4 linked regions of the Rattus norvegicus genome follow. The protein of the gene in region 3 purifies or fractionates together with the protein of the main gene of each other region. This does not show direct contact. Links are inferred from orthologs where the notes say so. Each region holds a gene or a part of one and is shown on either strand. Other genes may lie near its edges. The genes, in order: Cd22, Kdr, Ptpn6 and Cd72.

The links.
Region 1: the proteins of Ptpn6 (region 3) and Cd22 purify together in Homo sapiens (affinity purification with western blotting; 5 studies listed by BioGRID and IntAct, with this or other methods). This does not show direct contact. The link is inferred for Rattus norvegicus from reciprocal best matches to the Homo sapiens genes PTPN6 and CD22.
Region 2: the proteins of Ptpn6 (region 3) and Kdr purify together in Homo sapiens (affinity purification with western blotting; 3 studies listed by BioGRID and IntAct, with this or other methods). This does not show direct contact. The link is inferred for Rattus norvegicus from reciprocal best matches to the Homo sapiens genes PTPN6 and KDR.
Region 4: the proteins of Ptpn6 (region 3) and Cd72 purify together in Homo sapiens (affinity purification with western blotting; 3 studies listed by BioGRID). This does not show direct contact. The link is inferred for Rattus norvegicus from reciprocal best matches to the Homo sapiens genes PTPN6 and CD72.

The regions. Positions count from the first base shown.
Region 1 is NC_086019.1:95,251,551-95,259,190, forward strand, and holds part of Cd22 (B-cell receptor CD22 precursor), read right to left. Parts: intron 7,328-7,640; 5' UTR 7,188-7,327; intron 6,276-7,187; exon of another isoform or gene 6,191-6,275; intron 5,440-6,190; 5' UTR 5,419-5,439; coding exon 5,382-5,418; intron 5,166-5,381; coding exon 4,773-5,165; intron 3,768-4,772; coding exon 3,468-3,767; intron 1,065-3,467; coding exon 795-1,064; intron 669-794; coding exon 405-668; intron 1-404. UniProt on the Homo sapiens protein: Most highly expressed siglec (sialic acid-binding immunoglobulin-like lectin) on B-cells that plays a role in various aspects of B-cell biology including differentiation, antigen presentation, and trafficking to bone marrow.
Region 2 is NC_086032.1:32,587,487-32,595,126, reverse strand, and holds part of Kdr (vascular endothelial growth factor receptor 2 precursor), read right to left. Parts: intron 6,956-7,640; coding exon 6,844-6,955; intron 6,017-6,843; coding exon 5,908-6,016; intron 5,096-5,907; coding exon 4,754-5,095; intron 2,785-4,753; coding exon 2,638-2,784; intron 2,077-2,637; coding exon 1,945-2,076; intron 1-1,944. UniProt on the Homo sapiens protein: Tyrosine-protein kinase that acts as a cell-surface receptor for VEGFA, VEGFC and VEGFD. Plays an essential role in the regulation of angiogenesis, vascular development, vascular permeability, and embryonic hematopoiesis.
Region 3 is NC_086022.1:159,221,665-159,229,304, forward strand, and holds part of Ptpn6 (tyrosine-protein phosphatase non-receptor type 6), read right to left. Parts: intron 3,634-7,640; exon of another isoform or gene 3,453-3,633; coding exon of another isoform or gene 3,445-3,452; intron 3,363-3,444; coding exon 3,240-3,362; intron 2,999-3,239; coding exon 2,804-2,998; intron 1-2,803. UniProt on the Homo sapiens protein: Tyrosine phosphatase enzyme that plays important roles in controlling immune signaling pathways and fundamental physiological processes such as hematopoiesis.
Region 4 is NC_086023.1:62,490,414-62,496,980, forward strand, and holds the end of Cd72 (B-cell differentiation antigen CD72), read right to left. Parts: intron 5,439-6,567; coding exon 5,287-5,438; intron 4,732-5,286; coding exon 4,616-4,731; intron 3,404-4,615; coding exon 3,256-3,403; 3' UTR 3,251-3,255; intron 3,080-3,250; exon of another isoform or gene 3,052-3,079; 3' UTR 2,742-3,051; downstream 1-2,741. Other genes in the region: Tesk1 (dual specificity testis-specific protein kinase 1), read left to right, coding at 108-190, 335-425, 585-668, 791-880, 995-1,124, 1,631-2,517. UniProt on the Homo sapiens protein: Co-receptor of B cell receptor (BCR) that plays both positive and negative roles on B-cell functions. Recognizes the Sm/ribonucleoprotein (RNP) self-antigen ligand, and coligation of CD72 and BCR inhibits BCR signaling.

The sequences.
Region 1 (7,640 bases), on a different chromosome or scaffold from region 3:
CTGGGCCACCAGGCTGGTGAAAGCCATTCAACAAACATCTACTAAGTAACTACCGTAAGCTGAGGCTCTCGGTCAGTGTCTAGAAGGCAGCGGTGAAGCACCAGGAGCCTGTTTGCTTGTCTTTCCAACACCTTCATACCTCCACAACAGACACCCCCTCCATCCCCACCCCAACACCCCTACACCCCACACCCAACACCTCTATACCCTACACCCCTCACCCCCACACCCAATACCCCCTGTACCCCCAAACCCAACACCCTCTACATTGAATACCCCCTCACCCTACCTCCAACACCCACTACACCTCCTTACTCCCACAACCCCTCACCCCTACACCCTATTTGCCTTCCTTCTCCATTTCCCCCTTTCCTCCAAAATCAAGAAGTCAGTCGGCTGCTCACAGTGGACATCCAGCTCAGCTTCCTGTTCTATCTTTCCACAACCCAGACGGTTCTCTGCCAAGCAAGAGTATTTCCCAGCATGCCACAAGGAGACATTAGAGATCTGGAGCTTCTCATGGCTGGCTCCGGGTACCATTTCCCCATTGTGATACCAGGTGTAGTTTGTTGCTCTTGGACTGGCCAGTGAGTCGCAGATCAGCTCTACTGACTGTCCCTCTTCAGCCGGTGAGGGATAGATGTGAACCTTGGAGGGTTCCGGAGGATCTGAAAGAACGTATGGCAGCCACGGGACAGGTGAGGGGAGCCTGTCCCGTGGACACCTGAGCCTCTGCTATCTCTTGAGGGCCCTGCTAACTCCATACCTCCCTCACCAGCTTCACGGGAACTCACAGAGCACCGTGAGTGCCACTTCTTTGGACTGTCCTTGGCCTATGTTGTTGGAAGCCCGGCACTGGTATTTCCCTCTCATGTCCTTGGTCACTGAATGCAGAGTTAGCTCCTCCTGTTCCTGTTGTTCCTTCAGGAAGCTCCCATCCTTGAACCAGGATACCTTCTTGGTACTGAGACTCGGGTTGCTGCTGTTAACCTGACATGTCATGGTCACAGAGTTGCCCTCCTTGACCTCTGTGGGATTGACCGTGATCTGCAGTTTTGGGGTGTCTGCAGGGACAGAGAAGCAGTTGCAGAGAGGACAGGGAATGCTTGGTGGCTGCACTTTTTTCCTGACAATAGCAGTGCACACATCTGTGATTCCTTAGTCCACCCAGGTGATTGTCCAAGCTCCTCACCCGTCTGCCTGCTCCCAGTCGTCCGTTCCCTGACCACATTGTCTCTGCCGGCAGAGATTGGCACTGAAGCTATCCATTGGGCTTGTACAGCCCAGGAGACCAGTGGCCTCCCTTCTATACTTCTTCCGCTCTTACCTCGAAAGGCTCAGGCTTGACCCACACTCCTCTCGGGTCCTCGGCCTCTGCCATGGGTACACTGCTTCACCTCAGGACCTTTGCACTTGGTCCTTCTTCTTAAGATCTTAGGATCTGCCTGTTCTAGTCCCTCACGGCAGCTGAGGTCTGCACCTTCCTCACACAAGCCTCTAACCATCACCAGCCTCCTAACCCCCTTTCTTTTTACCTTTTTTTTTTTTTTGAGGTATTTGTGTGTTCATGCACATGCACAAGTGGATATGGTTGGAGGGAAACTGTGGGTGTTGTGTTTCAGAAACCATCCATCTTGTTTTTTCATTTTTTTTTCTTTTTTTCGGAGCTGAGGACCAAACCCAGGGCCTTGCACTTGCTAGGCAAGCACTCTACCGCTGAGCTAAATCCCCAACCCCTTGTTTTTTCATTTTTTGAAACCGGGTCTCTCACTGACCTAGAGCTCAATTATACCAGACTCGTTGGCCAGCAAGTCCCAAGGATCCTCCCCACAGCTGAGACAAGCAAAGGCCACCACACTCAAGTCTTTTGTTGACCTTTTGTTCTTCCAGACAGTGTTTCTTAGTGTAGCCCAGGCTGTCCCAGAACTCGCTCTATAGACCAGGTTGGCCTCATACTCAGAGATCCACCTGCCTCTGCCTCCTGAGTCCTGGGATTAAAGTCCTGCACCACCATACCCTGCTTACATTCAGCTTTTAAAATGTGAGCTCTGGGGTTCAAAATCAAGTCCCTATTCTTATAAGGCGAGTACTTTTTTAAAAAAAAGTTTGTTTTCCTTTCATCGTGTGTATCTGTGTCAGAGGGACTCAGATCCTGCAGAGACAGAGTTCTCGTCTGCTGCCTGGTGTGGGTGCTAGGATTTGAACTCAGGTCCTCTGCAAGAGCAGTAGGTGCTCTAAACCATGGAACCATCTCTCCTAAGTACTTTAAAAAAAATATTATGGGACTGGAGAGATGGCTCAGCAGTTAAGAGCACTGGTTGCTCTTCCAGAAGACTCAGGTTGCCAGCACCCACAGAGAGGATCACAACTGTCTGTAACTCCAGTTCCAGGGCATCCAACACCCTCTTCTGGCCTCCACAAACACCATTCTTGTGGTCAGTGCACAGACATACAATCAGGCAAAACACTCGTACGCATACAAATAAAAACTTAAAAATCTTTTAAAAGTTAATAAACGGCGTAGTATCACGGAGTGCTAAGCGTAAAAGAAATTCAAAGGAGTTTTATCGGGCTGGCTAGGCAAGCTCAAGAGTTAGCTACCCGGCCCTCTTTTTTTCCTTAATGCACATATCTCCTCCCAGCAATTCTGCTTTGTGTTTCTTGATTCATGTTTCTTACGCGTTTCCTCCATTGCAACTGTTACTCCGCACAGGCAGAACCTAACTCAGTGCTGTGTTCTCAGCCTACACCGGCATTCAAGACAAGACCGGCACCGAATCAGTGCACAGGCTTGGCTGTTTGTTTGTTTGTTTGTTTGTTTTAAGGTAGTGTCTGATTGGCTTAGATCTCACTATGCAGACCAGGCTAGCCTCAAATTCACAGAGCTCCACCTACTTCTGCCTGGTGAATGCTGGGTTTAAAAGTATGTTCCACCATGCCAGGCCCCACAGTAAATATTCATTCAATGAATGAATGAGTGAATGAATGAATGGATGAATGAATGAATGAAGCATAAAATAATGAGGTAAAAACTTACATGTTTGGAGAACAATGAACCCTAAGGAGGTGATCTTCAAAGTGTGCTGTGGCTTCAGATTGACTGGTTGGGTGGTTGGTGCTGGAGATTAGCCCAGGGTCTCAGAAGTGCTGAGTAAGCACCATACTGCTGAAGTACATCTCCAGCCCTTTTGTTTTTGAGACAGTGTGTTTTACTCTGTAGCCTTGCCCTCCTGAGTGCCCAATTCCAGGCCACTTCACTAGGTTGCCGAATGAGGTTCAGGTCAAGGCAAAGGCTAAAACGAATGTGTCTTGAGACTAGGACTGACAGAAAAGACTGTATGGAGAGCCTGAGCCACCCCCAGAAACAGGTGACCGACAGCTGACACAGGCTTTTCCCACCCTTGGTGCAACTCGACAGGATTTAGGAAGAAGGTGACAGGTGGCGTCCTTCCCACCCAGAGACTCACACTTAACATCCAGACGCACTGTCCTCTCAGAGAGCACTTGGGAGAAGTGCCAGACTTGGCACATCATGCTCTTTCCGTGGTCTGTCCACTTTGGCTGGAAGGTGAGCTTGCTCTCTGTATAGACGTTCTCAACGGAGGAGGTGATGGAAGAGGTGACAGGGCTGACCTCGGACCCGTCCAGAGACCACCGAAGGCTGATGTCATACCCAAAGCAGGTGAAATTCAGTCCACAGGTCAGAGAAACCCTTTGGGATTCCCGGATTTCCGATGGCAGCTGGATGTAAGGTTGGAACGGTCTCTCTAGGGGGAAAGAAGAGAGAGGCCTGCTTGCTGGGGATGGGACACAGACAGGCCTTTCACCCCTGGCTTCAGGCATCCTGCCCCGTGGCACCCCAGAGGAAGCCCTTGCAAGACTATCGTTAGCTTTTTGTTCAGTTTGACTACTCTGAAAGGCCTTGGGAACACAAAGCCTGCTGGGAGAGTGTATCTAACACTGACTTGGTTTCTCACTTCCTTCTTCTATTACATTTCTAAATGACCTCAGAATCACCCAGGGTGATCTGATTTGATCGATTGGTTTAATTCTCCGTGTACTGCTAATCATTGGTGACGTGCTCGTGTCTGACAGCCTCAGACTTAAGAGTCAGCCAAGCACAACATTGCTTTAGTGGGGTGATCCTGAGGCCCAGTGCTCAAATCTCCACCACACTAGACCAAGATGTCAAGAGGCCCAGCACAGACAGCTCAGTGTGGACCGGTGATACTATCTAGGGCAGAGGCCCCTGGCTGCTGTTGTGGGTCACCTCTGAGCCCCGTGCAATCCTCGTCTAGCCTAAAAGAATTCCTTTAATTCTCCTAGCTTAAAAGAAGAGAGTCGAGTCCAGAGTGGATATGATCCTGAACCAGGTTAGGAGGGGCAGGAAGAGGGGAGAGAAGGGAACCAGGTGTAGCAGCCAGGAAAGAAGGCAAAAGGTAAGAGAGGGGGCAGGCTACCCAGATGGCTGGATTATATAGGGAAGGGGGAGGGGGAGGAGAGGCAGACATGGGGGGCAGCCCAGCCCTTGGGCTGGAGAGTTGGGTTAGAGATGGGGGGTGGGGGGGAACAGGTGTCAACCACTCTCTCTGTACCAAGTAGGGACTGAGGAATGCTGGGAGAACCTGAGGCAGGGCCCTCTTTGATATTTTAACTAGGCACCTCAGCTGTTTCTTCCAGGGTTTGAGACCCTAACTCTGATCAGGTAACACCGCACTTCCCCATCCCTCTTTGCCACTGCTAGAACAGTCAGCTGCCTTCCCATGCCTTACCAGAGACGTTGAGGTGAATGTGCTCCATCCATTTGTCAGTCCCTGAGATCAACCTCAAGCCCAGCTTCCCACTGTCATTGGCATGTATCGGGTCGATTTTCAGGGTACAATTGTTCGATCTGTTTCCCAGAAATGTTACTCTGTCTTGCTGAGAAAAGTACAGCTCAGTCTCTATGCTCGCCTTCGTGTTGTTATAGAGGACCTTTCCTGTGAAATCCCTGGTGGTGTTGTCAAACGTATAGTTCTGAAAAAGGAGGATGCTGTCCAAACGCGACCTAGGCTTTGGTACTTTGTACTTGCAAGGAATCTGGATGCAGGCTCCCTCCCAGGCAAAGAGGGTTTGGGGATGTTCAACAGACCATCCAGTTGCTGAGCGGAAGGAAGCCACATGTCCTAAAGGCACAAATCTGGTCAGAAGCTGTTACTGGGGGATGGGGACTTCCACTAGGAGTAGGAGAGGGAGACACTGGGGAAACGCGGTGGGGCAGGAGCACAGAGTGTCCTTCTCTCTTCACACTGCCTCCCTGTGGTTCCCCTCCGATGCCCTAGGCCCATCCCCTCTCTGCACCCGCTGTTATCTGCAAACCCAGCCTGGGCCTCAGCACTTACCAAGGATCAGGAGGAGCCACGGGCAGGGGACACACATGATGGCTTGTCTGGGTGAGATCTAAGAAAAGAAGAGTTAGTCTGCAAAACTGGTTGTGTTGGTGTGTGACTGTAAGCTCCGGAATTTGGGAAGTTGAGGCAGGAGGATTGCTGGGAGTCTGAGGCCAGCGTAGGCTGCATTCTGACACCCTGTTTCAGCAACAGCCACAACAACAGAAGGAATTTGCCTTTGAACCATCTTGTTGCTTGTCCTTTGTCCACTCAACTCTGGCTCCTTTTTCCAGTTTGGGGGGTAGCTACCTGGTTATGGGATAGAGATGTGGGTTTGGGGTGCTCATAGAGCCTCTTCTGGGTACACTGTACTTCTTCAAGCAGGCTTTCTCTCCTCTGTCTCTCTCTCCCGTCCATTTATATGTTTTAAAATTTTTATTTTATATTATTGGTATGTGGGTGAGTGCAGAGCTGATGTATGAGGCACGTGCAGGCCGAAGTGCATGTGTAGACGCCAGAGGACAACTCTGTGGAGAGCTCTGTGGAGCTGACTCTTTCCTTCCACCTTTAAGTGGGTCCCAGGAATCCAACTGGAATGACCAGGCTTGTGCAGCAAGCATATTCAACCCCTGAGCCACCTTGATGGCTTTCATAACTCTTAAAACTGTTCTCTCAGGCTCTGTGCTGCCAGTTATATGCCTCAAATGCCAGACTCAGGTAGAAGGGTACCATTGCAAAGTTATACATAGAGTCAGACCGAGTGAGTGGAAAGACTTGGGGCGTGGTAGGGTGGCAGTGAGGGGAATCACATTGAAACAAACCTGATCGAGGCCTGGCAGTTCGGCTTGGAATTCCAGGTGCTCCAGAGGCTGATGCAACACAATTGCAAGTCCAAGGTCAGCTTGGCTACAAAGCAAGTTCAGGCCCAAGTCAAAGTAACAAAATGCTTGTCTCAAAACAAAAATAAAAAGAGGGTTGGGGGTATATCTCTGTGATACAGGAATCACCCATGGAGGCAATGGGGGCTGGGTTCAGCACTAGAACCCCTACCTAGAATCCCCCAGTGAGGAGCTGGGGGCTTGGCTCAGTGGTAGAGCCCCTGCCTAGCAAGCAAAGGACCTAGATTCCATCCATAATACTATACCAAAAAGTAAAACTAAACTCATATTGAAGTATGACATAAGCAGAACACCTGGAGGAAGTTAGAAAGCCTTAGAAACAGAGAGTGGTCTGCACAAACCCCTCCTGAGCCCCAGGTGCTGATAGGGAACAAGGGATCCCTTTTCTAACATCAGCCAGTTGCTACCAGAGGATTGTGGGGAGAGGGGGAGAACCTCCCATTGTCTGATCACCCACGGTCTGACCAAAAGGAAGAAGCCAGATTGTCATGGGGAATGTCTTGCTTTAGAAGCAATACATAGGACCAGTCATGGTGGTGTACACCTAAAAGTCCCAGAATTTGGGAGCCTGGATCTGTGACTACAAGCTTGAAGCTACTCTGGCTTCCCAAGCCATTGTAAGTAGGTACTGAGTAAGTAGTACTTTATAACACTAGCCTGACAGAACTTAACTGTGCATTTAAGGGAATTTACAACGGATACCCAGTATCTCTCTCCCCACTGAGCTTGGCCTCCACCATCCCACACTTTATGTAGAGTTAAATTTAACTCTGTTCACGTAGCTGTGATCTCTGTGTCAGTCCCCAGGGATCTTGCAGGATGTGCCAACAGAGTGTGTCTCCGGTGTCAGAGCAGAGCTGTGTCCCTTCCCTTACACCCACCCTACCAAAGTTTCCCATAGCTTGCACAGTATTAGCACCTCCTCCTCTCCAGATATCTATCTCCACGGCCACAGGGCACAGGTAGTAAGCACTGTTGGGTGATCAGGGCCATGTGGGGAAAGCTAGTTCAGCTGCTGAGAGAGCTGGGCTGGGTTCTGCCTCTATTGAGGGGGTTGGCCTGGCAGAGGCTGGGGCAGATCCTCTGAGGTAGAGCTGATCTTAGTTTCCAGGATCAGGGAATGCAGCGCATGGAGACATCTTCAAGGTCAACAGACACTTGGGAAAAGCTGAGTTCAACCGGAGGCTTTACCTAGGGACTTTTCAAGCTGTCTGATGAACTTAGGCAGTGGCCATGCTTCTTTGGCCGTGAGATCTATTTTAATCTTTTCCGACACTTTGACAAGCTGGGGGTGGGGGGTGGGGGTGGGAGTTGTTACAGCAAAGGTTGTAGCAACAATCAGCCTGCAGGTGCCAGCGGACCACCAAGCTTG
Region 2 (7,640 bases), on a different chromosome or scaffold from region 3:
TGGGGAAGGGAAGAATACGGGGGAGGGGGAGGGAGGGAGAGAGGGAGGGAGGGAAAGAGAGAGAGAGAGAGAGAGAGAGAGAGAGAGAGAGAGAGAGAGCCGAGAGAGAGGCACTATGTATGGAAGGAGCAAGGGAAAGGCTAGGCAATTAAGACTGTGGGCTCCTCTCCAGAACACATTCCAAGTGGAGAGATTCAGGCAGAAAGCGCTCAGCACCAAATGATTAGCACCATGTGACTAAGATACAATAATTATCACTTGGGGTCTCGGTCTCTCCACTCACACTGTGCAGCGTGAGTCAAAATGAGCTTCAAGCTGGGGGGGGGGGATGGCCCAGAAGTCAGAAGACAAGCAATTAATTAGTTGACCAAGTAAGAGTTACCAGTTGGGAGATGAGCTCTGAGCACATCTGATTTGGTTTTGCTGATGTTCTCGAGAAGTTATGGTTCTATCTGTACGTAAAGGTTTAAAAGCCTACTCATGCAAGCGACAGAAGAAAGGTCAAAGATTCAACTGTCTGGGGATTTAGCTCAGTGGTAGAGCACTTGCCTAGCAAGCGCAAGGCCCTGGGTTAGGTCCCCAGCTCCGGGAAAAAAAAAAAACAAAAAATAAATATTCTCATATTAACAACTGAGAGCTGGACTTCGGGAGAAGCAGTCCATGTCTACCCCCCTCTCCCTGCCTCCTGTCTCCAGGTAAGTCTCCATAATATCTATATTACTGTGCCCTCTTAGACATGGTAACCTAATGCAGATGGCTAGTGGGTAGAGGCAGAGTACCAGAGAGAACTGGCGGGTGTATCCTCCCCGGGATTGGCGCTAAGCCATGAACACTTTGGTAGTGACAGAACTACCATGCCCTTTGGCGACCTCATTTGCAGTTGTAGTTTATGGAGTCCTAACCATCCTACAGATTTGAGAGCATGCTAGTGGCTCTTGAAGCCTTGATGCAGTGTCCAACAACATGAGTTTGACAGATTGTATGGAGCAAGATCTAGACTTTGAGCTGTTAGAATTCTGCCAAACCTACCTCTCCAACTACCCTCAGTCATCCCCTCGCACACCACTCCTTCACTCACACAACAGAGTTACATTGTTCCCTTCCTGGGTTACAAAACAAGACCCAAGAACACTCTTCTTAAGATGAAATGTTCTGTCACAGAATACTGACTGAAAAGCAAATGCTGGACTTCACGTCAATCCTACACACACACACACACACACACACACACGCACACACACACAGTAGAGGGAAAGAAGTTTCCTTTCACATTTCAATTATAACCCCCAGTTTCCCACATCATAAAAGCAATCACCTATTAATCAACTGTTGTTTATGAGTGAATCTTGTCATTGCTCTGGGGAAAATCCTGAACACTTGACCCTTGCCACTAATGAAATAGCAATGTCCAACACCAAATCTATTTTCCCCCAAGTAGATATTGAAGTGTCAGTTCAGTAAGTTAACCATTCAAACAAAGTGAGGACCGGGAACAGGAGGGATATTTATCACTCGTGGATAACAGCTTTCTCACAGCAAGAACTACGTGGACAGGAAATATGGTACAGCCTGAAGCGCACGCTGATTTTGCTCTCCGGTTAAAAGGACGCATGCCCATTGAAGACAGGTTATGAAGAACAAGTGGAGGAAACCCTAGCTCAGAACTCATCGACTAATAAGATCTGAAACTTTCTGAGCACCCACCCCTTATTTCATGTGACAGATTCCAGTCAAATAAGGTAGATGCCCTGAAAATATTATGTAAAATTACCTTCAGCCTTTGTATTCTTGCGTGACGCTTAAATTAAAATTTTAGATATGAGACACTTATAACCACTATGAGCGTCCCCATGAGTCACCCATATGGCATCCTAGTAGCTGAGGCTATGTACAATACGACCTAATTGCCAAAACCACCTGAGGAGCCTATGACATCACACCGACCTTCTATTATGAAGAGTGTCTCTGCTCTTGCACAGCCAAGGACATTGCAGGCCTGGCAGGTGTAGAGGCCCCCGTCTTCCTTCCTCACCCTTCGGATAGTTAGGTTCCGGTTCCCGTCTTTTAGTACAATGCCTAAAGGAAGAAGGAAACTCTGCTTTACTTCTGATGGGGTGATTTGTGCTTTGTCCAGGGCATTTAAAAAAATAGTTGGGGCTCTTCATCTCAGACCATTCTCTTAACTCTAAAGAGGTGCCCAGGGTTGACTACCGACTGCTCTCCCATGGGATCTCCATGCAAACTCAACAGGACTCAAATTAGCTGCTGTGAGGTATCTTCACTATCGCTTTCCTCATTATTCTTTTGAGAAAGGGTCTCTCTCTGAATCTGGGCTTGAGGATCTGGCTAGACTGACAAATGAGCTCCAAGGACACATTTGTCTTCCCACTCCCCTACCCTGCCCCTTAGTACTGAGATTACAGAAGGATGCTGAGTCTAGCTTTCTACATGGGTTCCAGAGATGAGAATGCCATCCTAGGGCTTGTGTAGCAAGCATTTCACTGAGCTGTTTTCCCAGTCCCCTAAATACAGCTGTCTGTCTACTTTGAAACAAACCAAGAAGCCATAGCAGTCCTACGTAGCATCCTTGAAAAAAAATAATCCTACAACCAAAGAAATAGACAAGTTCTCACTCACCTGAATCTTCTACAAGGGTCTCATTGTCTTTGAACCATGTAATGAGGGGGGTAGGGTTTCCAGATGTTGGACAAACAACTTCGATGGTCTCACCAATGGTTGTTGTCTGATTCTCCAGATTTCCAGTGATCATGGGTGCCATGCGCTCTGTGCACACACACACAAAAAAAATGGAGAGAGAAAACTGTAGAGCCCATGGTCTCAACTGTTAGAACAGTTTTCATGTCCTGGGACTATTAAACACAGTAAACTTCATAAGAAGTAGCCCATTAATAAAGTGAGCCAAAGCTATACAGAACATGACAACAGCAATCCTGTTGGTCAAACAAAATAAGAAAGGACATTTCAGACAGACACTGAAGCCTTTAAATATTCACATTAGCCACCCCACTTGCAAATCACACAATACTTGGGACTCTTTGGGGATTGTTTTTTCAAGTTTGAGGGTTTCCTTCCCCTCCAATCTCACAAGGCTTTCCCTAAGCCTTCTCTTAAAGTTGTAGCCACTAAGAGGAAAATTCATGTTTTCCCTTAGGAAAGGCAAAACCTCAGCGCAATTTTGTAAGGAGTGACTTACATAATGTTGGATACCTTTATATCATTTCTAATATTTACTCCCAGTCACATATAATGAGAGCCAAGCCATTAGCCTTATTATTATGGGATGTGATTGCAGTTCAGGGGTTTAAGCATTTTACCCACATCCCTATAACTAAGTAAATGGTTGACATAATAGAATCTGATGGGCCTAAACATACAGTATAGTTTCCACTAAAACACAAACAATCCAAACAATAACAGCCTATGAAAAATCAAGGGCATGTGTTTGCATGTACAGCAAACCTGAGCTTTACTGTCCTGAAAATCGACTGCAGTGGAAACATTGATGGGTGTCCAAAAGAATCACATTGAAAGAACCCCCTTTAATGCTTAGCAGTGCATGGTCATTTCTACTGTGCACTTTGTCAGAGTTTAAACAAACATACTTGGCTCTGGTCATTTTCCAAGAACAGATTTTCAAAAACAACATAGGCTTCCTTATAGAAGCATATCCACTGATGGTGATGGTAAACTTCCTGGTCAGGGCTAAGCCAGGAGCCTCCTTCAATCTTCTCTCTAAACTCTCCCCTCATCTGGACCAGCTACTGATGCTCACCGAATAAAACTGGTCCTGTATGTGGTGTGACTTCTAGGGTCTTGGGAATGACTTGACTCAGAAACATTGTTCCTTCTGTGCCCAAGTTTTTAATACAATCTTGTATTAGTGTCTATCTTGAGACACTCCTTCAGATAAGCTGAACCTCTTAAAAAATGATATTCATATAAAATGTTGGTTTAGATAAGTTTCCCTTCCTTACACTATAAAACAGAGAAGATGCATATCACAAGATCCTCAGAGAATACAACAAAGGAGGAAACAAAAGGAAAAAGCACAAAGAGACATTCCCTAATCTCACCAGATCGCCTTAGAGACAGAGGAGAAGAATGCCTACCTTTGGTCCAAAGTACAAGGTAGACAAGATATGGAGAGCATCCCCATGGGAATGCAAGAGTTTTTTATTTTTTTAATCACAAGCTTATCTCACTGAACTTCACCTACCAAGGACCCCATCGGATACCATAGAAGCACAGGCAATGAGTATGGCACCCTTCATGGAATCTTCTAGATCTTAAACTCAGACCCTCATCACACCGTTTAACCTAGTGTGTGCTAGAGTGTTCTAGGACTAAAATTACAGCAGAGACAGAATTTTCTGTCCTCCAGAATTGGAGGCCCCACAATGGTATAACCACCCAGTATTTTCCTATGGTCTCATCCTCTCCTTCTAGGTCATCACTTTGAGCTTCTGGCCCTCTCTTTGCTAATAGTGTTAGACAAATGTGTTAACTTTAATCATTGGATGCTCAAAGATGCCACAGGAAGTTCTTTGGTTCAGGCTAATCCCTTGCAGATACTGGTAGTGATATCATCACCTCACCAGGGTTAGCTTGTTTCTGCCTCCAGGAGTACACCTGCCTACTACAAAAGCTCCCAGAGGCCTGTACTATTCACACAGCACTCAAACACACTGCATTTAAGGCATTGCAACCCCATCAACCAGGGGTCCCTCCATACCTAGGATGACGAGCTGCTTGACTAGGCAATGTCTTTTCTTGGTCTTCTTGTCTTGAGCAGAGCAGACATAGTTGCCTTGGTCCTGCAGGGAGGCATTCTGGAATGCCACAATCAAGATGTCGTTTGTGCTGTTAGAAAACACGGTGCCATTCAGTTTCCAAAGAGCGTCCAAGTTCTTGCAAACTGGTGTGAGTGATTCGCCCATGTGGACCGATGTTGCCTGTGAGCCAAGCTTGTACCACGTGAGGTTCTCAAACGTGTTTCTATCTGCAGTGCACAATAGAGACACACTCTCCTGCTCGGTTGGCTGGGTAGCAGGCTGGACAGTAATTTCAGGACCCCCTGGAATTTAAAGCCATAGTTAGAAGATTGTGATTTAGTTTGGGACATGACACCATTGTCTTCTTCCTGCTGTGACGAACTGAGACTGCTCTTACAGTCCCCAGCCATTACTGCAAAGACAGAGCCAGACTAGACAATTCATTCCACAAACCGTATTATTTGAAAATGTGAAATTAATTTTCGCCAAGTATTTACTGCATTCTACTTTGAGTTCTGGATATGGTTTCCAAGTTGAAACAAAGCAAAGCAAAAAGTCCAAAGTAGGGCATTTAATCATCACACGGAATCTTTAACAATGTCTTCTTATTAATACATGACATGAAAACCACATTTATTACAAGTAATTAGCTCAGGCCAAAATGTCTGAACCAGTACAATCACCTCAAGTTTACCCGTAAAACTAGGCTGCAGGAACAAACTCCAGAGTGTTGGAAGGCAGAGGGCCAGTGATTTCACATCATTCCCATACTCCCAGAAGCCCCAGACCCGGTGCTGTTCTATCACAGACCCACAGATAACTTCATAAACCCTAGGAAGTCAAGAATCCCACTAACTGGTGAGCAAGACAAGTTACACACAACATGGATCTTGAGGCTTAAAGCACAAGTGGAAACCATCTCTGGCCAGGGATGGCACATTAACTCTCTCACAAGCCCAGGGGCTATGTGAGCAGCTCTAGCTTGTTACCTTGAGTCCTATCTACACAGCCCACCTCTCACACAAATCCCAAAGACAACAGACAACCTCACAGCTTATTAGCACCCACTTCCTGAGGGTTCCCCCCACCCCACTCTCCAAAGAGGTCTACTCACTGATCACATGGAAGGAGATGACCCTCTCTCCTCGTCCTGCTTTGTTGATGGCTTCACATTTGTATAATGCGGACACGTTGGCAGCCTGGATGACCAGAGTACTTACAGTCTGTGAACATACAAGACCAAAGTCATGAACAATACAGGCTGAACATATACACACACATACACACTGAGACAGTCTATCCATCAGCCCTCCACAGCTGCTAAGGACTGCCCTTGCCATTCATGGTACACACTGCCCACCCTCAAAGGTAAGCAGCTCTAACCAGGCAGTAATACACGGGATACAAAAGTGCCTCAGAAATCCTCAAGGATGCACTCTCATGGACATAATTCACACTTTTCATTTTTTATGTGTATAGAATCAGAATTACTTTTCAACAGGTGCTTACACTGAGTGGCATTATGTGCTTTGTTTCTCTTCCATAAACTGCTAGTAAGCTATGGGTACTACGGGTTTTTCCCTTCTCCTTTTAAATTAGTAGATATTAATTGTACAAAACAGCAAGATTTATTATGACATTTTATACATGTATATAATATACTTAGATTATATTCACTCCCAATCAGTCTGTCTTCTCTACCTTCATATCTTTTTTTATCCTGACTCATATAAAAGAAAATCATATTTGTATTTCTAAGTCTAACTTATTTCGCTTAATGTGATGATCTCAACTTTCTGCAAATGGCATAAATTTGTTGCTATTTAAGATTGAAGGAGTGTGTGTGTGTGTGTGTGTGTGTGCGTATGTGTGTAAAACTCATGCTTTCTTTATCTACCTAGGTTGACTCTATACCTAGGCTGTTATGGATGACATAATACAGACTATTTGATTATTAACCTCCAATATACCTTTGCATGTTATTGTACCACCTTCTACTCAGATTCAAGAATTAGAAAAAGAGAGATTCAAAATCAAAGTTCAAGCTCACTTTGTTTTTTCCTTCAATTAGGGCATATTGGTTTTTGGTGACTTCGATCTTATTTCCCCCCTGGAAATCCTTCACGTGTCTCCATTCTTTACAAGTATATGGGTTTGTTTGGCTGTAAGAGGGAGAAAGCACAGCATGTCATGATTTGACTTCTCTTTTGTTCAGTAGCACCAGAAAAGGTCAGCCTATGGTTATCACGTTCTTAGTGATAACTCTCAACACAGGCTAACACTTCGCAGAACTTGGCGCCAATTAAAAATAGATGCCAACAACAGTGCAAAGGTCCAAGGTAGCTGCCCGAGAATACAGAAGGGAAGCAGCTATTCTGGGAACAAGTCTCCATTCATAAATTGCATCGACAAGACAATTCAAGCTCACTTAGTTCAAAGGAAGGTAAGGAAACTTGGAAGCCATTGGGGCTTCTTAAAGTCATCTCTCTGGGAATGACTGGTGACTTTTGTTTAGGAAATGGTCAGCAGCTGAGGAAGAAACTAGGGTTTGCTATTTCAAAAACAACAACAGGAAGTGGAATGCTTGGGGTGGTAGGTTGAAGGTGGTGGCTGTTGTTTTCCCTAAGGATGTCTGCACTTGTGGTAGACCTTGATAAGCTGGGCCCGAGACTCTTGAGGCCTGGGCTACGTTTATCATTGCCTCCCATCCACCAGCACTTCCTCTGAGAGTTGAACCTTCCCAGAGATAAGGAGGAGCAGGGTGGTCCTCTCCAGTCCACAGACAGAAGAAGATCCAAAGATTGGCAACTAGCAAACGCAGCAAATGGTATCCGTTTGGAGAGGTAT
Region 3 (7,640 bases):
CCTTTGGCACAGCAGGACATGTAAAACCCTGAGTTCTCTCCCCAGGACCAAGATAAACAGAAAGGAAAAAAAAAAAAAAAAACGGAAGGAAGGGAGAAAGGAAGGGAGAAAGAAAGAATGAAGGAAGGGCTCTAGCCAAAACCTAAATGAAGCCTCTCTCAACTATTCATGAGAAACAGAAAGGCAGTGTACAAAATATTTGGAGGGACAAAATGAAGCGTCCCCATGAAATGGACTCTGACTGAGTTAAAAGAAGGGACAGAAAAACATGGATGGACTCAAACCACAGAAGGCAGCGGGTGCCAAAGGAGACAAAAGTCTGGAAGGACTGATGAAAAAACGCATTTGGGGGTGAGGGAGACAAACATTCCCCCGAGGGAAGAGTATTTCAAGGTTCCAGGGGTAGCAGGGGTTCAGAGGGGCTCCACAGAGCTCCGAGGGGCTGCAGGGCAGAAAGCAGAACTAAGGACCTTTCCGTGAAGCACCCTCTTCCCAGGAGGAAACTGTAGCCCCACAATGCCTAGCCTCACAGGAAACCACGTGATGGAAAAAATACAAAACTCCTTCTGGGGAGAGAGTGAGAAGTGAGGCTGTGAGGTTTCCTCAGCTCAGGAAGGGGGGGCGGCAGCATTTTCCAACCGCAAGGATGGGGGGGGTGGAGTGGGGCTCAGTCCTCTTGGTCCTTCTCAACTCTGTCCAGAGGACACCATAGCTCAAGGCCCTTCAGAGGCTTCTACCCCAACCCAGGCCTCCTGGGCCATCCTAGCCCATTTCAAAGACAGGCCAGAGACCCCAAGCAATGTAAGGGGGCTCAGTTCCTTCCCTCAGGGACAGGATGAGGAAGTCTCCATGCAAATGTGAACAGACCACAGGCAGAGAGTTCACTATTGAGGGGACAAATGCAAATTTCCTAGAAGAGGAGGGGTAAGGACAGAAGGAGTGTTGGGTCATGGCTTCCACATAACCAAGGTTAGGGATGACACTGAGCTTCCCAGCTGGTATCCAAAGTGTCTCTTGGAATCCTCCACAGCCCTGTCGGGGTGTAGCATCCACGGTGTGTCCCGTGCTTCCCCACTGCCCTGGTCTGTTCTCCTAACACCTGTTTAGCTCCCACCTTCTTCCCTATCCCAGGGATCAGGCCAGCCACCATTCAGCTGTACCTCCATGGTCTCCTCTAGCAGGGCACATCCTGGCTTGGAACAGCAACAAAGAGAAAGCAAGGAGTGAAAAGAGAATGAGAGGCCACCTGAGTGTTGCAGGTAGAAGAGAGAAGAGACCACCTGAGGTGGGTCCTCCCTTGCCATTCACCAGCAGGAGAGGAAAACTTTCAAGGAAACATCTCCAGCTTCTTTGTGTCACTGGCAAAGGGTGAAACACAGAGCTTTTACCCCAGTCTTTCACGGTCTATATTGGAGGTGGTAGTGGTGGTTTTTTGTTTGCTTGTTTGTTTGTTTGTTTGGGTGGGTTGGAGTTTTGTTGTTTTGTTTTGGGAAGTTGGTTCTTCAGGATAGAGTTTCTCTGTGGAGCCCTGGCTGTGTTGGGACTTACCTGGTAGACCAAGCTAGCCTTGAACTTAAAGACATCCACCTTCCCCTCCCTCTTTTGAGTGCTGGGATGAAAGGCATATGGTGCCACCAACACTGCGTTTGTTTTAGCTTTTTTAAGTCTCATGTAGCCCAATCTGGCCTCAAATTTGCTATGTAATGGAGGATGAACTTGATCTTCTGGTCTTCCTGACTCCCCACTGGGCTTACAGGCATGTGTCACCCACACCAGGTTTTTGCATTACAGGGACTCAAGCCCAGTGTTCAATGCATGACAGGCGACCCTGGACCATACCCCTCCAGTCCTAAGTTTCGATCAGTGACTTGTAAACAAAACTACTGGGCTAAGTCTGTAGGCACGGATCTCAAGACGGATTTAAAAACTGCGAGGAAAGCAACTCGGTGGCAAAGCACGTGCTCAACACAGACAAGGCCCAGCAGAGGAGTGAGGGTTTAAGCAGAGGAGGGGGATTAAGCTCGAAATCATTTCAACCGTAAATATACAAACACAGGACAGGAATAAGGCATGGGTCCCCGGAGTCCATAAGAAAACCCTAGAGTTATTCCACTGCCCTTTAACAGGAGCTGTCAGTCACTCTGCTTTTGCAGCTAAGATGAACTCCAGTGTAATGAGAGACGTTTATCTCCATGCCCTTCCCCTTGACCACGCTCTGAGAAGACCACAAGAACAGTCAGTCCAGCTATGAGGGCTGTGTCTTTGCAGCACTGCTAGGAGCTGTCCTGTGGGTTTCCTTGAGTCAGGTAAGCCTGAGCCCTCCACGCCTGTGACCACATCAGTGACCTCGCTTCCACCAAGCTCTGTCCAGCCACAGCTCAGTGTGTCTGCTGACTTTCCCTGAGTATCCCAGTGCCAATGAACCTCTGAGACCTTAGTAAGACAGGGACCTAGAGCCCCAGACTGTGTGGAGAGCTGGAAGAAGGCACCAGAGTTCCATGGAAGGAAGAACTTTCTAGTAATAGGGCCCAACCTGATGAGAAATATCATCGACAAGGAGTGGCCTCTCTGTTACTCTCAGGATAAGGTTGCTAGGTAGCAGGAACCCTGCAGGAAGGCAAGGGGAACCCTTCTCTTGCTTCCTCAGCAGACAGGGGATTGGTTAGATATGGGAGTCATCAGGCTACAAAGGAAAGAGGCTCAGCACTGAGAGAACAGGTGTGGAAGGCCAGGGATGAGGAATGGACTGTGAGCAGGACACCCAATCCGGGTGTTCACCCCTTTACATTGCAATGCCCCTCACCTCTCGCTGGTGGGGTCCGAGCAGTTCAGTGGGTACTTGAGGTGGATGATGGTGCCGTCTCGGTCCTGCAGGATGCCCTGCTGCTGAGTGTAATACTCCACCAGCTCTGTCAACGTCGCAAACTTCTCCCCTCCATACAGGTCATAGAAGTCCCCTGAGTTCTGGATCCGAATATGAGTCACCTGGTCATCCACCCTGCAAGGCACCACAGGTAGTGAGTCCCCAGGTACAGGAGCAGCAGCGGAGTGGGCTTGGGGGACAGAAGTCTCCGTGCAAGAGCACACAGGCATGGAGTGGACATAGACAGTGGTGGGCACATGCTAGGGCTACAGGCAGGGACATAAGGAAAGCAGTGCAATCTGGGAAGGCAACCAACACAGCCCGGGGAGCCCAAGAATGCTCAGGACCCACACAAGGTGCAGGGAGGGCCACCCACCTGACTGAGAGGGAGAAGTCACCCTGGTTCTTGCGACTGGGCCGAGCCAGGAAGCTCCCAGGGACTCCCCGGCCCTTGAGCAGGGTCTCGGCATCAGGCCCACTGAGGTCCCGGTGAAACCACCTAGAGGTAGGTGCACAGGGCAGTGAGGGAATATCCCCTGGGCTCCAGGCCACCCTCGTTTCCTATCTCCCATGGCCCTTACCTCACCATCCTGAGGCTCTTGGTGTATTGGCTGCAGAAAACGTGGAGGGAACAGTCTGTCTGGGCAGGCACCTAAAAACTCTAGAGCTGAGCCTTCTACTCAAGGCTCTCAGAGCCCAGGCCTCCAAAGCCAACCTGCTGTCCTGCTCCCGGGCTACCACTCTACTGGCCTGGGGCAGCCAGCAGGGCGGAGACAGGAAGGGGCGCGGCCGACCCCTTAGGGGAACTCACTTGTACTTCTCTTTTCAGAGCAAGGGAAGAGAAGCTGAAGGGTGGCAGGGTGGGGGAGGGCCCACTTCGCACAGTCTGCCATCAGAGGCACAGGAGCATGGCACTAAACACTCATGACTCGAGAGGTAAGGACACACGTGGGTGCCCCTCAGTCCCTCCAGGTCAAGAGTCACACACAGTGAATATCCACATGATCAGGTCAACCTTTCCTCCTCCAGCAGCTGCTTCTACTCAGAATTCTAAGGCACAGCTATAATACTGACAGTGTGTGGTGACACTGTCATTTAATGGAGTGTCAACGCATGCCAGACTCACTGGTACAATGTCATTTACATGCCACCTGTGAGTAACAGGGCACCACGGCCTCACTACACAGGTACTATCTTTATACCCACTTTATAGACAAGGAAACTGAGGCTGAGAAGTCTGAGGAACTGCCCCAGGCCTTACCCTTAGTGAGTGGCAGGACTCAGACCTAAATAGTTTCAAAACCAATGATTTTTGAATTCTGCTTGCCAACCCTCAGGTCCCAAAGAACAGTAGTCAATAGACTCCTTGTCTGTTTTTTGTTTTGTTTTTTTTTCCTTTTTTTTTTTTTTTTTTTTTCCGGAGCTGGGGATCGAACCCAGGGCCTTGCGCTTCCGAGGCAAGCACTCTACCACTGAGCTAAATCCCCAACCCTAGACTCCTTGTCTGAAGGAGATGCTATCACAGCTGACAGCCCCCACAAGGCAACCTCGTGCAGCACTGTCATGGTCACGGGCCTTCTCTGTAGGGAGCGGTGCGACAGCTGTATGATAATGAGGTGAATCTGGCGCCCTCCTAACAACAGTACTGAGCATGCGTGGAGTTTTGCACCTGACGTCAGTCTGGCTGGGGCGGTACTATGCTAAATGGGAGTTCATGCCTCGCCAATCTCTGGAGGACAAGTAGCTGGGATGGCAGTGGGGTGACTCGCGCCCACCAATCCCTGAAAGAAGATTAGCATACTGTTGTGTATATAAGCCGAGCGGCTTGCCGCTCGGCGCGGTAACACATAAAGCTGTAACACTTAAAGCTGTAACACTTGGAGCTGTAACAATTAGGGCTGGCTGCCGCCGCCTCCCTGTATCAACAATGAAGGTGTCCTGCAGTAAAGGCTGTTGAGAAGAATCCAACCGTGTTGCGTCTTCCTTGCCGGACGAGGTGGGCGCGACAAAGTGGTGGCCCGTACGGGGACGAGGACATCCTCGTGGATCTCAGAACTCTTCAGCTTCAGGATGAGCGACGTCGGAAAAGTTCCCGGTAAGGGACGATAAAGTTCTCTGGAGGTGAGCAGAGACGATGGAAGCCTTGGTTTAGAGGCTAAAAGGTCTGCAGTCTGCAGCAATGTTGTTTCCAATGGATCCTTTGTGGGTAAGGCTTGTAATTTTGTTTATTTTTTTTTCTTTGTGTGGGAAGCGGTTAGAGCAGTTAGGATAGGTCAGAGGGTCCTTGCAGAGCAACAAGAAAGTATGTCAGAGGGAGTAAAGGTCCTGAAAGAAAAAAAGAAAAGAAAAGGAGATAAAAGGAACAGAGAGAAGGCAGAGATAAAAAAAGAGGATAATCAGGACCAGGAAACAAATAAGATATATTCTTCTTTAAAAGCCTTGACCTTAGAAATGTCAGACTAGAAAGCATCACTGACAGTTTAGAGAAAGTGAAACTAAAGGTAGAACCATCGGGTCCCGGGCCTCCCGCAGAGCAACAAAAAGAAGCACAAGACTCCACCACCAGACTCATATTGACCCCTAGAATGGGAACTCAGGTGGTGGATACAGATTTTAAAGGCCCCAGTAAGCAGAATTCAGAAGTATCACAGAAATTTAAAGCATGTGCAAAGATAAAGACTTGGGGTAATGGTAGTGGTCAAAAGGGGACACGGTAATAATGGTAAAATGTTTTTGTGTATCATAGATGCTTTTAGTCTTTGGACCCTGACTAGAGACAATATACACCCTAGGCAAGAGAGAGAATGGGGTTGAGAAAAACAGTCCTCCCGAACTCTCCACAGATGCTTTGGCAAAAGAAGGAAGTGAGCTTAAGTTTTTTGAAGCTCTCCTGGGAACAGAAGGAGGTGGGAGACGTCTTGCCTCCTTGCTGGCTCCTATTGGAGAAGTGCTTGTTTCTGGTTCTGGGTTCTTTAGGTAGGATGTCTGGGTCCCTTTGGTGGAACACCATCTAGTTCTTTTCCTCTGTGTCTATTGTTTGTCCTTGGTGCACCAAGCTGTGGATGTATGTCAATTTATGTCTGGGTTTTGCTTCTCGTTGCTTGAATGTTTTGTGTTTCATGTTTAAAAGGAAAAAAAATGGTTAAAACTTTAAATGCTGGTTGATTCACCCATTGATGTAGCTTTAACTCCTTTCAAGAAAGGAACAAATAAATAAAAAGTTTCAATTGGCTTTTGGAGCCGGCATCTGTAGCTAGAAGCCTAAGTTGGCTGGACAAGCTCCCCAGGGGGCTGGCTAAATGTTTATACTAGCCGTCCTAGAAGCGGCCTATACAAAAGTGGTTAAGGTACTTGAAAACAATCAATTGTTCATAGCACCTGAAAAGGTTCAAATGGGCCAAATGGGAGAATATTTAGGAACTAAAATCACTTCTCATAGCATTTCTCCTCAAAAAATTGAATTACCATTTAAAAACATTAAATGACTTTCAAAAATTACTAGGATTCGACCCTATATAAAAATGCCCAATGTAGATTTACAACCACTTTATGAGATCCTGAAAGGGGATTCTCAGCTTACTTCACCCCGTGTTTTAACCAAGGAAGCACGATTATCCTTGAGGAAAGTAGAAGAAAGACTAGAAAAGGCAATACTAAAAAGGTATAAGGAAGAGGAAGATCTGCTTTTGTGTATACTGAGAACTTTTCGTCAACCTACAGGAGTATTATGGCAACAAGGTCCACTTCTTTGGATTTATCCCCACATTTCTCCTAATAAAACCCTTGAATATTACCCTTCTGCTGTTGCACAGCTTGCTGTGTTAGGTGTTAAATCTTGCATTCAGCATTTTGGTATTTCACCAAAGAAAATTATTATACCATATACAACTGCTCAGGTAGAAACATTGTGTGCATTGATAGATGATTGGGCCATATTGTGCTGTAGTTTTGATGGAGAGTTTGACAATCATTATCCTAAGGATCCGCTGCTACAATTTTTTACTGAACATCCAGTGATCTTTCCTAAGATCACTGCCTCAGAGCCTTTGTCTGGAGCGTTAGATATTTATACAGATGGCTCCAAAACCGGTGTAGGTGCCTATATGGTTGATTCTCAAGAACCAGTATTAATTCAATATAGTCCAGGTACCCCCCAAATTACAGAATGTAAAATTGTATTGGAAGTTTTCAAAAGATTTCATGATTCTTTTAATTTAATTTCTGACTCTGCTTATGTGGTTAATGCGGTACGCTCACTTGAAATTGCAGGGCCAATTCGGTCAACTAGTACTGTATGTCAAATTCTTTTAGAATTACAAAATTTGATTTGGGCCAGAAAAAATAAATTTTTCATACAACATATTTGAGCCCATACTAATTTGCCTGGTCCCATGACCAGTAATAACGCCCTGGTGGATGCTAGTACTCGTAGAGAGTTTATTTTTCATGCTGCTCCGGTTGATCTCGCTAGAGAATTTCATCAAAAGTTTCATGTACCTGCCTTTACTCTTCAACAAAAATTTAAAATTTCTAGAGCTGCAGCTCGTGATGTGGTGTTAAGTTGCCAGAATTGTGTTCAATTTCACCACCCTCCTCATGTAGGGATTAACCCTCGTGGTCTGATCCCGCTAAAACTTTGGCAGATGGATGTCACACACATATCTCAATTTGGAAATTTAAAATATGCTCATGTTTCTGTTGATACATGTTCTGGTATTATACATGCTACTCTGATGACTGGTGAAAAGGCTCGTAATGCCATTAGCCATTGCTTAGA
Region 4 (6,567 bases), on a different chromosome or scaffold from region 3:
GGTTGGAGTAGTGCTTAGTGCTGTGGTGACACGGGGCTTTGGGGTCTATACTAGAGGACCAGAGAGCAGGGGATGGGTGTGTGAGGATGCTTGTGTGTGTGTGTCAGAACTGTCTGGTCCGACGGGAAGACGGAGGCTTCACAGCTGTTGTGGGTGACTTCGGACTGGCTGAAAAGATCCCTGTGTATAGGTAAGATGGCCACCCTTCTTACCCGGAGCCTCCCAGGGTTGCCCTACGCCAGTGGTGCTTTCTGTGGGTGGAGAGGAGGCTTACCCCATCCCCTTTCGTCTGGGGATGTCTGAATAGAAGATTCTGACCACCCTGCCTCTGCAGGGAAGGGGCAAGGAAGGAGCCATTGGCTGTGGTGGGCTCCCCATACTGGATGGCCCCAGAGGTATTGCGGGGAGAGCTGTATGATGAGAAGGTAAGAGCCTCAAGCCCCCCAGAGACCTTGAGAGCCCCCATCCAACAGCTCTGTTATATATGTGGAGCCCCCGGCCTTGCCCCTTACCCCTCACTGCCACCCTTCCAACCCAAGATAAGTGCTGACTCCTCCCCCTTGGCATGGCCCACTTCCCTCCAGGCCGACGTCTTCGCCTTTGGGATTGTCCTCTGTGAGCTCATCGCCCGAGTACCTGCAGACCCTGACTACCTACCCCGTACTGAGGTGAAGTAACCTCCACTGTATGTGCCTCAACCAAGAAGGGCTCTGTGGGGTCGATTCTCACAGTGGGGCACAAGGAGAGCCCACTGAAGGCTAACTTGGCAGCCCCTCCTCTGTCCCCACAGGACTTTGGTCTGGATGTGCCTGCTTTTCGAACTCTGGTGGGAAATGACTGTCCGCTACCTTTCCTGCTTCTGGCCATCCACTGCTGCAGCGTAAGTGTTACCCCTGCCCTGCCCCTAACCATGAGTTGTCTTCTATGTCTGGGGAGATAGTGGAGGAAACTCACCATCTTCTGAGCCCTGAGCAAAGCTGTCTTTATCCATCAGATGGAACCCAGCGCCCGTGCCCCTTTTACTGAAATTACCCAGCACCTGGAACAAATCCTGGAGCAGCTGCCTGAGCCCACGCCCCTCGCCAAGATGCCCCTTGCCAAGGCTCCCTTGACATACAATCAGGGTACGTGAGCATGACCTTGACCCAGCAGAAGTCCTTCTGCCTCTCCTGAGAATCAGTTATCTGGAGGAGGCTAATTGGATCTATGAGTTAAAAGGTAGGCAGTCAGGTGGGAGGGTGGAGAGGCATCTCATAGAAGATGGGTTTTTATTGCTAGAGCCCAAGGAAGCAGAAAAGGGCGGTAGAAAGGTAGCTGGAGGGGCTGGTGAAATGGCTCAACAGGTTCAGTCATTTGCATAAGGACCTGAGATCCATCACTGGGATCTACATCATGGAAGCTAAAAACTAACACCTGAAAGTTGTCCTCTGACCTCTGACCTCAGTTGACAACTTCAGTGTCCTGTGGTTCATACAGACTAAACAAGGTAGCGGGAAATAACAGTCATCCCTTCCAGAGCACCTGTAGGCTTCCCTTTCTTAAGCTCATGTCCCACCACCTTCCTGGGGATCGAGGGCCTCAGCTCTGCACAGATGCTGAGGACAGTGATCTCACACCTCTCTTTCCACAGGGTCTGTTCCAAGAGGAGGTCCCTCTGCCACGCTTCCCAGGTCAGACCCCCGGCTCTCCCGAAGCCGGTCAGACCTCTTCCTGCCACCTTCACCAGAATCACCCCCCAGTTGGGGGGACAATCTAACACGAGTCAACCCCTTCTCACTGCGGGAAGACCTCAGGGGTGGCAAGATCAAACTTCTGGACACACCCTGCAAGCCGGCCACTCCACTGCCCCTGGTGCCACCATCACCACTGACCTCTACCCAGCTGCCCTTGGTGGCCTCTCCAGAGTCCCTGGTCCAGCCTGAGACTCCCGTCCGCCGCTGTCGTTCACTCCCTTCATCCCCTGAGCTCCCCCGACGGATGGAAACTGCACTGCCAGGTCCTGGCCCGTCCCCCGTGGGCCCCTCGACTGAGGAAAGGATGGACTGTGAGGGCAGCAGCCCTGAGCCAGAGCCCCCAGGGCCGGCTCCCCAGCTGCCTCTGGCTGTGGCCACTGACAACTTCATCAGTACGTGTTCCTCAGCCTCTCAGCCCTGGTCTGCTAGACCAGGACCTTCCCTCAATAATAACCCCCCTGCTGTGGTGGTGAATTCCCCACAAGGATGGGCGAGGGAGCCCTGGAACCGGGCACAGCATAGCCTTCCCCGGGCAGCAGCCCTGGAGCGGACAGAACCCTCACCACCCCCATCAGCTCCCCGGGAGCAGGAGGAGGGGCTTCCCTGCCCTGGCTGCTGCCTCAGCCCCTTCAGCTTTGGCTTCCTATCCATGTGCCCCCGCCCTACCCCAGCTGTTGCCCGCTACCGCAACTTGAACTGTGAGGCGGGCAGTCTTCTCTGCCACCGAGGGCATCATGCCAAGCCACCCACACCCAGCCTGCAGCTGCCTGGGGCACGCTCTTAGCAGTGAGGCCTGTGATCTCAGGCTTCCAACCTTGGCCTTCGGGATACCCTGTAAGGACAGAGTGCACTTGCTGGACAATGCCAGCCCCAGATGGGCTGACTGGCTCTTCTCCCCGTATAGGGGAGCCTCAGCATGGTCTCAATGGACAGAGCACTTCCTGTCCAACCCCTGGGATCACTGGACTAGACACAGCATTGCTGACACACAAGACTAACACGTGCAAATTATTTAAAAATATTTCAATAAAACTGCCTGGCTGGCTCCGGGCCATCCATCCACTCAGCGGAGCGCCCTCCCCTGACCCATCTCTAGTTCGGGAAGTTCTTAAGGAAGGTCAAAGTCTTTTCTGGAGGCTTCTTTACTCTTCCCAAGAATAGTTTCTGGAGCAGCTTTCAAGCAAGCAGCAGGTCGCCAGACCAGAATCAGCCCTTAGCTGGGCGTGCCCAAGAGTGAGGGAGTGCTGGAGGAATAGCAGTCTTGAGAATTGGCAGGCCATAGGTTAAGGATGTAGGTCACAAGGTCTTGTTGAAGTGTCTGGAAAAATAAAGCACCAGTGAGCTCCAGTTGACTTCATTAGCCCTCATCCTATTTCTCCCCAGCTCCTCTCTGTTCCCTGCCTCGCCTGGCCCTGTGTAAGCAGACAGCCACTGGAGGTGGGGGATGAGACAAACGAGGGGACAAAGTCCTCTGGGCCTCTGTCCACACACCCATGCCTCATCTCCCTCATGCTTACCCATTTCAGTTCAGATGGATCCCATCAGGAAACCTGAGCGCCTCCAGCTCACAAATGCAGGGGAAAAGGTCTGTACACGTGTATGAGCTTTCATACCACCATGAATGGTAACATTTTATCAGGTAACATGAGCTTTGAGAATGAGAATCGGACCTGTGAAGAGTTGGGATATACTTTAGAGTCTGCAAGTCCCTCCTTTCCCTTGCTCTTTGTAAAACCTAGTCCAAAGCCTATGACCTGCTAGGGCCACATGGTTCAGGAACAGGTTTCTGAACTTCAGCTCCACAGGCCTTAAGGCCACAGAGGAAAACTCACCCAAGTCTTTTTTTTTTTTTTTTAAAGATTTATTTATTTATTATATATAAGTACACTGTAACTGTCTTCAGATACACCAGAAGAGGGCATCGGATCTCTTTACAGATGGTTGTGAGCCACCATGTGGTTGCTGGGAATTGAACTCATGACCTCTGGAAGAGCAGTCGGGTGCTCTTAACCACTGAGCCATCTCTCCAGCCCTCACCCAAGTCTTAAAAGAGGAAAGCTGCACGTAAGGAGTTGGGTGTGACTTCGTGCACCTTTACAGCACCCAGGAGTCACAGACCTCAAACCCCATGGAACATGAAGTAGCGCCCTGCTTTGGGGTCCCTGGAGCAAAACTGCAGCTACTCTGCCCTCTCCTGAGACCGGTCTAGTGCCCCAGTTGGCATGGACTAAGCAAGCTGTCTGTTTGGGCAGCCTGTCAAGGCTTAGGTCAATGCCAGCACTCCTCTGCCTGAGAAGCCTTGCTGAAATCGCTTCTCAGCCTAATTTGTTTTTAGAGATGTGGGAAGGGGTCTTGCTGTGTAGCCCAGACTGGCCTTAACTCACAATCCTACCTCAGCCTCCTGAGTGCTAGGGTTACAGGAAAATGCCATTGTAATGTAAGTATGCACTAGAGACCTCCAGGCACTATGGATGGAGTATGGAGTAAGGTGCACGTCAGTGAGATGACTTAGCAGGTGAGCACCACAGCCTGGGAGCAGTCCCCGAGACCCACACAGTAGGAGAGAACTGCCCCCCACAGCCGTCCTCTGCCTGCCCTGTGGCACCCCTCCACCAACACGTTTTGTTTTTAATATCTTAAACAAGTTAATATGTTAATCAAGTAAAAGAAACAAGAAACCACAATACCGATTTGTGGGGGAGTTTTGGGAGCAGGACTTAAGGAAGTAATATGCCTTTATAAGAAACTGAGTTGACAGGGGTTGGGGATTTAGCTCAGTGGTAGAGCGCTTGCCTAGCAAGCGCAAGGCTCTGAGTTCGGTCCCCAGATCCAAAAAAAAAAAAAAAGAAAAAAGAAAAAAAAAAAAACTGAGATGACAATACCTCCTCCCCTTCATGTTCTTCATGTTTTGTGGATAATATACAGTATGGCTCATCTGCTCAATCCAATATGACTTTGAACGATCTAGCAACTTCTTTAAGCCATCAGGCAGAGAATCCTAGGGGGTTCAGAGGGGTAAGAGAACAATGAGAATACAGAGTAAAGTGGGGGCACCCTAGGGGCCTATGAATTTCACTTAGCAAGAGGCCACGCCCACTTAGTACATGAATTAATTAATTGCTCCTGCATCTATCCTTCCAGTGTTACCAGACACAGGCTCACTCTCCATCTCCCCTCCAAGCAGGGAAGTGGAGTCAGCCTGTGAACTTCCGGTCTCAGATGAGTGTCAGGGGGTTGGCACTCGGCCTGAGAGGAGTCAATGAGGAATTAAGCAGGCAAGGGGCAGGCCAGCAAGCCAAGACAGACTGAAGTGGAGATGGCTCAGACATGTCAGCTCTCACGGATGCTAAACAATAGGAGCCATGGGATATCACGGGAGTGAGAATGCCCAACTATTGCCACACTTACTGGCTAATAGTGTGACTTCCATATCTGTCTTGGGGAAGCAATGTAAACCATGGCTTGTGTGCAGATGTGCACTGCCATTCCTGACTTGATAGCACACATCTCTTTACATACCTCCACCTCAAAATATAGATAAGGTCATGCTCACTTGTAGGGAATACCTAGGAGGTTCGTTGAGCACAGCCAGTTTGGAGGACAGAGATGTGCAGTATTTTCGGCTCTCCTCCAGACTTCTGGGGGTATTTGAGATGTAAAAGCACCTTTTCTCATGCTGAACCCATCCACTTGGACAGCAGGTGTCTACAAAGCAGAAAGAATATGACAGCCACAACTCTTGGGGTAAATTGACTAATTGGCCAGCTGATTGACCCTAAGGGTCTGCTCTCAATGTCGGTTTTGTCAGCTTTAGTCCTTGATCTTTGCGATCTTTTTGCCTCTTCTGAAAACATTTTACTCCTTAATAACATGGGAAGAATTTCCTAGTGGAGTTAGTACACTGTCCCTGGGTTCTGAAACATTAAAATCTGCCCTAAACTTGCCAACCTTGCCTAGCTCCCACACTGATCAATGGGCTTCTCATTCATTCATTCACTCACTCATTCATTCCATTTAATCCCTAACACATTCAGAGGTTGCCACACTCCTCCAGCCTGTGGCCACATCTCTCTCCACAACTCTGTAAGCAGACAAACTTGGTTCCTGCTTTTCTAAAAATTATGAATATTCTCCATTTCCACTTCTCTACTTAAAAATGCTGATCTCTGTTCTTTTCCGGATTACCTGTAAGAAATGAATCCTTCTTTAACATCCAACGCCCCACTCTGCTCTTGATCACAAACGACTCTTATCAGACCTAGCCAACATTCAGAAATCATTCCCTGTCCACCGCCGGACTCTCTCTCTGTCTCTCACACATGCTATCTCTCTTCCTGTCTTCCTGTCTCTATCCTTCTCTCTTCTCCCTCTCTCCTCTCCTCTCTTTTCTTCCTCTCTCTCTCTCTCTCTCCCCTACATTTTCTTATGTCTCCATCCAGCTTCTCCCATTTTTCTGTGCTGTGGCAACTTAAAGGAATTTTTTTTTTTAGTTGGGTGTGACTGATTTGAAGAGAGTGAGAGATAAACATATCTAAAGGTAGGCAGAGCCTTGAGAACCATGTCAATGAGAGAGAAAGAAAGCGAGAGAGCAGAGACAGAGAGACAGAGAGATATAGCCTAGGCTGGGCTCAATTTCCTCATCCTCCTGCCTGAGCTTCTTAAATGCTGAAGTTACGTGTCACCATGTCTGTCTCAAGATTTTATTGTTCTATTAAGAGGAAGAGAACAATACTGTTGACTTTCACATCAAGGAATTGTGTGCTCTCTCTCCATACCTGTGTCTGGGCACACGCTCGAGTGTATTTATGCCCCATTACTGCTTGGATAACTAATA